Canis lupus familiaris: one gene and its partner. The protein of the gene in region 1 purifies or fractionates together with the protein of each later gene. This does not show direct contact. Links are inferred from orthologs where the notes say so. Each region holds a gene or a part of one and is shown on either strand. Other genes may lie near its edges.

Region 1 (2,669 bases):
CCACCCCCACCCAGCTGTTACCAGGACCCACACTCACCTCTTTCTTCAATCTGCTCCTGGCCTGACTTGGTAGAGGCCACCACATTGGCAGCCATCTCGTTGACGGTGCGGGAGCACTCCTGGAGGCGGCTCAGGTGGGGGCTGCGCTTGTCCGCCTTCACCTGGGGGCACGTGGGGGCAGGTCAGGCTCACCCCCCCCTCATCACGCGCACTTCCTGGCACAGCCCAGAGTCGAGGCCGAGGCTAGAGGCCACGACGCACAGAGCTTCACCTTGGAGGCGGCCACAAGCTGGGCTGTGCTGGCTGCGATCTCGTGGGAGCAGACGATGAGCTCTTCGTACTTGCCCATGTGGAGCACCACCCTGTCCGCTGACTCCCTGCAGACAGAGCCGGGCAGGGCCTGGGTCTCCGAGCCACCGCCACACTCCCTCCCCGAGACCCCGAGCACCACACACCCTGCTGCCCCCCCACCTGGGGGACATACACCAGCTGTGAGGCTCCCCAGCCAACAGCCTTGGAGGCAGAGATGAGGCCTTCAGTCCACCGAGAGTTCTTGGCATAAAACTCCTGCTGCGTGGCTGCCCCCTAGTGGCGACAGGAAGGCAGGGAAGGGTGGACCAGTCAGTGATGTCACGGGGCAATGGATCCCCACAGGGGATCACCTCGTCCACGAGGGGACATCCGTGGGCCATGTGGGAGATGCAGGTGTGACTCGGGCACATTGTGTGCATTCTGGGGAGGGGGGTCCTCATCACTTCACACTCTGGGAAGCCCATACCCAAAGGAGCCCGGAGGTCAGCTGAAGCCACTGGGGATGGGGGATCCTGGATCGTGGTCTGGGATGAGGAGGGCTCTGAGGTCACGCCCATTTCAGGAATCTGGCCCTTGCTGGCCCAGCCTCGCGGCCTGACAGGAAGGGCCCTGCTCACTCATCACTCACCCTGCCGCTCTCCACAATTTCCTTCTGCAGGCTGGTGGATGTTGTCACCAAGAGCCGGATGGCCTGCCAAGACCAAGGCACAGGTCATTCTTGGGGCGGCTTTCCCAGGCACACCATCCATCCTGGGATCCCAGCCAGCCACTCACCTTCATCAGGTCTGTGCAGGAATTGAGGATCCTGAGGGGGAGAAGCAGCAGGTGCAGGTGAAGAGAGAGAAAAGATTCTACAGGGTGACCCCAGGGAGTGTGACCTCTGAACAACTACCAGGCCTGACACAGGTGCTCAGCAGGGTGGGCCCATGGGGCAGGGTGTGCTCTGATTGTTTCCAGTCCCCTCTGGAGAGCTGAGCAAGCAGGACAGAACACCCTGGATTCTGGGGGGACGGGGGTGGAGGGGCATGAGGCTCACCTTTCATTCACCTCCAGCTTTACCCCGGAGCTGGCATGGCGAGCCTGGTTCATCATGTCCTACACCCAGTGACAGAGCTGTGAGCAGGCTGGGAGGGGGGCAGTGTGGGAGGAAGGGGGATGCGGTGCTGGACCAGCCCCATACCCCCCAAACAACCACCCAGCTGGGGCGGGAGAGGAGGAAGAGGCTGGAGGGAGACAGGGCAGGGGGTGCAGGGGGCAGCTCTAGGCAGAAAAGCCAGCTGCAACCTGCAGAGGCCACCTGCCCATGCACAGAAGGGGTGCAGAGGTGGCCACAGCTTACATTTGGCCCAGCCCAGCCCCCAGTCGTCACCTCAATCCTCCTCACAGCATCTTCAATGGCCGCGGATGTGGCCGCCATCTCCTTGTCCACCATGGCCCCAAGCTCCTCCTGACGCACATCCAGGCTCTTGGGCTTCAGCTCCTGGGGAAGAGGGCATGTAGGAGTCAGACCGGTGGACTGCTGAAGGAGTCTGGGAGAGGCTAGAGCAGCAGCATGCTGGGGGGCGGTGCTCTGACCCTGCCCAGTGTCCTCCAGCTGCCAGCTCTGCACAAGAGCACCTGTTCAGCCCAAACTAAAAGGAGGTGCAGAGAAATTGGGGACCCAAGCCTCACCCCAGGATCATCACCCCTCCAGACCCCAGCCCATGCTCAGTGCCATGGCTGCACACCTCACCTGGCCCAGCTGAAGGATGCCTTGTAGGGGGTTCCCCACTAGGCTGGGCTGGGCCAGGGGCAGAGTCTGCTGCTCCTGTAGGAGACCCAGGAGCTCCAGAGCCCGGGCCCCACACTCCCGGCACGTGTCCATCAGGCCTGGGGAGAGAGCACTGTCAGGGGGCCAGGCACCTGGGAGCCCTGGAAGAAGGCCCCGCACTGGGTCTGACACAAGGACCCTGGGTCCCCTGTGGGCACCGTGTGTGAGTAAAGCCCGGCGCGCACTTACGGTCAGCATGGTCGGTGGGGGCCAGGTGGGAGGTGGCGCTGCCATTAATAATGGTGTCTGCAGCCAGGTAGGAGAACTGGGTCAGGGCTGCCACCAGCACAGAGGTATCTGTGTGGAAAGGAGAGACAAACCCTATGCCACTGCCACGAAGCAAGGCCCAGACTGGGGCCTACAGCAGGTTGCTTGTGTCCTCTGCCCAGCAAGCCTAATGGGCACCACAGCTCCAGTTTATGGAGAAGAGGCAGGCTCGGAGGGGCCACAGTCAAGTGGCTAGACCGCAGCCAAGTAGGGAACAAAGCTTTGTCTGAGTGACCCCAGGTTCACAGAGCGGGCAGGACTGGGCTCCCAGTGGGTGTGG
Region 2 (4,247 bases), on another chromosome or scaffold:
AGTTCAAGACTGTATGTTCTTGGCAAACCATGGTGCTGCAGAATTTCACCAGCCATAGTGAAAAAAGTGGGGGGAGGGAATGGGAGAAGACCACAAAATCTGTGATATGATACATAAAATGTTAACTATTAGCTTTGCATCTTCTGAGAGTCACCAGATTGAAGCACGGATTTTGGATTTGGCTGGCAGATGGCGTACACAGACTTTTGGAGTATGTTAGCATTTCATTTGAAACTAGCAAGATTACGTAGGACTACCACGGTAATTTAACATTCATAGAGATTTTAAAATTTATCCCTAAACTTGAGATAAATGTGGCCCTAGTGACATTTTAAAAGGCTCTGTTAAAGATATGCATCTCCTAGAACAGATTCACAGGACAGTTCATTTCTCTACAATGTCTACAGGTCAGTGTCCGTGTCTCCTCTGAAAATCCGGTTTACCCAAGAGAAAAAAGGCCAAAGGGAAGAAAGACTAAAGCAGGGGGTGATGGCAGGTAGTGATGTCTCAATTCTTTGAATGGGACTTCTCCATTTGCCAGCCCTCTCACTTCCTTCTATGGTCTGGACCTAAGTCACGAAGGCACTCGGCCTTGTAGGGTCAAGCTAATTTGTTGACATCATCCTACTACTTCCCTTTTCAAATTCCAGTGAAGTTATGTGTTTCCTGTCCTATTTGACACCCTACAGAAGGAATACAGGCCGGTTAGTCTCTAAATTTAGTCCGGCAGCAACGTGTCTGAGTCTTCAGAGGAGAAATAAACAGAAACGGGTGACATTTCCAAGCCTTTCAAGAAAATGGGGGGGGGGAACCCCATCCCTTCTGGAGTAGGGAAGCAGGGAGAGCGTCAACAATTCCACGGCAGGGAGAGGCCTGCTGGCAGGCTCAGGAAATGGGCCGAATGAAGCGTCTTCCTTTTCCGTAAAACCAGGCGGACGCCTTCGGGGGAGTCCCTCAGCAAAATCTTGACTCGGCCACTGAAGTCCCGGGATCCGGAGCCCTTGCCCGACCCTGGCCCAGGCGGAGCTGCGAAGGCAGCCGCACCTCCTCTTTGTCAGGCTGTTGGTTTCAACCACCCGCACCAGGAGACCCTCGGGGCGGGAGAGGGGAGACGCGGCCGAGGCGGCCGCCACCTGCCCCCGCCCGCTCCCGGCCCGCCGCGCCCGCCGCGCCCCTCCCCCGCCGCCCCTGCCCTCTGTGACCCCCGCGGCCCGCCTCGGGCGACCTGTTGGCAGGGAGCGTCACGTGACGCGGCCGGCCGCGCGCTGCCCCGGGGCGGGCCTCCTGTTGCGCCCGCCGGGCGGGTTCCATCACGTAACGCGCGGGCGCCGCCCCGCTCTTCCCTCGCTGAGCGAGGGGAGGGCGGGCGTCGAAGAGGAAAGGGAAGGGAAAAGGGGCGGGAGAAGGCGGCGGAGGGGCGGCGCCCGAGTCACGTGACCCGGGACAGCCCGGAAAGCTCCGAGGAGGAGCCTGGCGCCGCCATTTTCCTGCAGCTGCCTGTCCCTCTTGCCCTGCCCGGCTCCAGCTGACCAGGGAAGGGGTGGGCTGAGCTGAGGCGGGGGCAGGGGAGTGCCCGACACCGTGCCTGACCCCGCGGGTGACACGAGCCGGTTCTTTCTGGGCTGGGTGGCAGCGCGCGGCCCTGAGCCCCGCCCCAGGCCGGCAGGCGGAGAAGGAGCCGGTGGGGGTAGGGGGTGCGGTGGGGGGTGGGGGTCCTCCGGCGCTTGGGGGTCCCTGTCCCCGCCGGCTGCCGCGCGGGAGGGGTGGCGGAGGAGCCGCAGAGATGTCCGGCCAGAGCCTGACGGACCGAATCACCGCCGCCCAGCACAGTGTCACCGGCTCCGCCGTCTCCAAGACAGTATGCAAGGCCACGACCCACGAGATCATGGGGCCCAAGAAAAAGCACCTGGACTGTGAGTGAAGCCGACCGCGGCCCCCGACCCCGCCACCCGCGTCCCTTCCTTCTGTTTTCTTACCCCCTTGTGCTGCCGCCTCCTCGCCGGCGCCTCGCCTGGCGCGGCGGGTCCTGGGCCGCTCCGAGGTGTATTCTTCTTTGCCTCCATCACACCTGCCTTCACGGCTTCCGTTCCCGGATAAGCCACTCCCCCGCCCAGGTGCCTGGGGGACCCTGGCTCTCCCGCCCGGGGCGCCGCGACGCCCCGTCACCCCGTCACCCCGACCGACTTGCCTCTCCACCCGGCCTCTCCGCGCTCGCTGCCGCCTCTGCCTGTGCAGCCGCCTGCCCGCTGACCCCCCGGCGCGCTCCCTCGTCGCCCTCTCCTGAACGTCTCCGCTCGCTCCCGGCCTCTCCGCCCCCATTGTTTCCCCGTTAGCCTTCGGGTTCCGTAAACGCCCGGTTCCGCGGACCTGGATCCCGGCTTCTCCGCGGTCCTGGAGGCTGCCTCGGCTGAAGCGATCCCCACTTCCTTTGCTCCTCCGGCCTCTTCTGCCCCTTCGCTTCTCTGGTTTTTCTGTCCTCTCTCATTTTGGGGTTACATTTCTTTGCATCCGTAGGTTCAGTTAGGTCCCTTCGTCTCTTTTTATGTCAGATGCATCCTATTCAATAGGACTTTTATCCCAAATTACTTTCTTTGTGACAGTGAAAGTAAAGGTTTTCCGTTTGGGTGTTGGGAACGCTTTGTGGGAAGCGTTTAATTGCCTCTGGTGGAATTTGATCATTCTATTTTCACGCTTTTTAGGTAGTTGTGCATGTCAGCCCCCCCCTCCTCCGCCCCCCATATTTCTTTTTCTAATGGGAATCTGCAGAAGGATTGGCTGATAGTGGTATCATTTTCTGGAACTGTTAACCCTGGCGGTTTGAGTTTAGAAGGTTTAGTATGAAGTGTAGGTTATTGGAATAAAAGATGGATTAACATCAAACCTACGGATAACATACGTTCTCTTTAAAAATGCAGAAAAGGTGATTGATGATGCTCGAGTTCAGACTGCTTTTTACTTATGCTGGTTATCTCGGGGGACCATTTTCTCTTAACCGGCGTAATATTACTCCATTCACTAACTTACATACAATTACCATAGCTGACTCCTCCCAACTTTTTCCAAACCTGGAAGCCACTTGTAATATCCTCATTTTTCTTTTCTTTACCTCGAGGTACAAAGCTCAGTGGATGGTTACTCAAGCTTTGACTCAGTGGAGCAGCCTAAAACTTTTCAGGAGAAAAACAGGGAAATAGGCACAATAATAAATTCCTTTTTAAAATGTTAACTGGACACACTAGCCTGAATTTTATTCTACATCAAAGTTAACTTTGCTTTACTGTTTGAAGCAAGAGTGAGCATGTCCTGAAAGGGAATTCACTGACAGGAGTCCTGTTTTGATTTCTCATTTTGGACTTTGGCCGTAAGGTCTGCATTTAAAAAAAAAAAAAGTACAAAATGTGAATTCTTTCAAGATACTTTGCTCATGAAGTTCTGTTAGAACAAGTTATTGCTACAGACAAACCCATTATTCATTGTGACTTGTTCCTTCTCTGTGGGAAAGTGAAAAAAAAATAAATCCTTACTGCTTGGTTTTTCTCTAATGCGCTGATCATACAGGCTACTTTTTAACTGTCAGTCCTTGACTGTTTAGAAAATGTGGAATATATTTAAATGATGACACTTTTGTAAATGGAAACTTCTTTAAAATGAATTTGTGAAGCCAAATGTGATTTTTTTATTATCTGATATTTGGAGTAGACAGCTTTACGGTTTACTTCCTTTCAAGTGACTACTTGGCTTGCTGTAACTAATCTTATGGTTTGCCCTGAGACTGTCAGTTTTTGTTAGTTGTTTTTTCTTTTTCTTTTTTGGTTTTGGGGGTAGGTGAAGAAACTACTTGTTACTGTAAGAACTAGTTTCCTCTCTGCTCACTTGAAAATGATACATTTTAAAGAAATGTATGGCTTTTATAAGTCTTTATAAAGGTTTTTGCAGTATTTTAAATGTAGCAGTAGTCATTTTAACACATGTCAAGAAGGGTAGAAAATAGGTTAAATAGGGTTAGGAGAGTGATATTTTCTTGTGGTTTTATTAGTGCTAGCCTTTTTCTCATGTAATAGCAGCTACTGTACATGCCAGTTGGGATTAGGTTTGGAGGGTAAACTCACGTTTGTAGTTCTCTACCACAGTTGTGTTTATAAGCTTCCACTTCAGAACTTGAATATTCCTGATAATGTGTGATTTTTTTTTTTCTTTAAAACCATGTAAGTTGCCACTACTGGAGTTCCTTTCAGTAAGGTTTTAAA

The links.
Region 2: the proteins of HIP1R (region 1) and PICALM fractionate together in Homo sapiens (co-fractionation; 3 studies listed by BioGRID and IntAct, with this or other methods). This does not show direct contact. The link is inferred for Canis lupus familiaris from reciprocal best matches to the Homo sapiens genes HIP1R and PICALM.

Annotation. Positions count from the first base shown.
Region 1 is NC_049247.1:6,853,806-6,856,474, forward strand, and holds part of HIP1R (huntingtin-interacting protein 1-related protein), read right to left. Parts: intron 2,420-2,669; coding exon 2,312-2,419; intron 2,182-2,311; coding exon 2,045-2,181; intron 1,793-2,044; coding exon 1,682-1,792; intron 1,408-1,681; coding exon 1,349-1,407; intron 1,118-1,348; coding exon 1,087-1,117; intron 1,004-1,086; coding exon 941-1,003; intron 586-940; coding exon 485-585; intron 378-484; coding exon 272-377; intron 162-271; coding exon 38-161; intron 1-37. UniProt on the Homo sapiens protein: Component of clathrin-coated pits and vesicles, that may link the endocytic machinery to the actin cytoskeleton. Binds 3-phosphoinositides (via ENTH domain).
Region 2 is NC_049242.1:13,530,169-13,534,415, forward strand, and holds the start of PICALM (phosphatidylinositol-binding clathrin assembly protein), read left to right. Parts: upstream 1-1,401; 5' UTR 1,402-1,783; coding exon 1,784-1,913; intron 1,914-1,976; exon of another isoform or gene 1,977-2,231; intron 2,232-4,247. UniProt on the Homo sapiens protein: Cytoplasmic adapter protein that plays a critical role in clathrin-mediated endocytosis which is important in processes such as internalization of cell receptors, synaptic transmission or removal of apoptotic cells.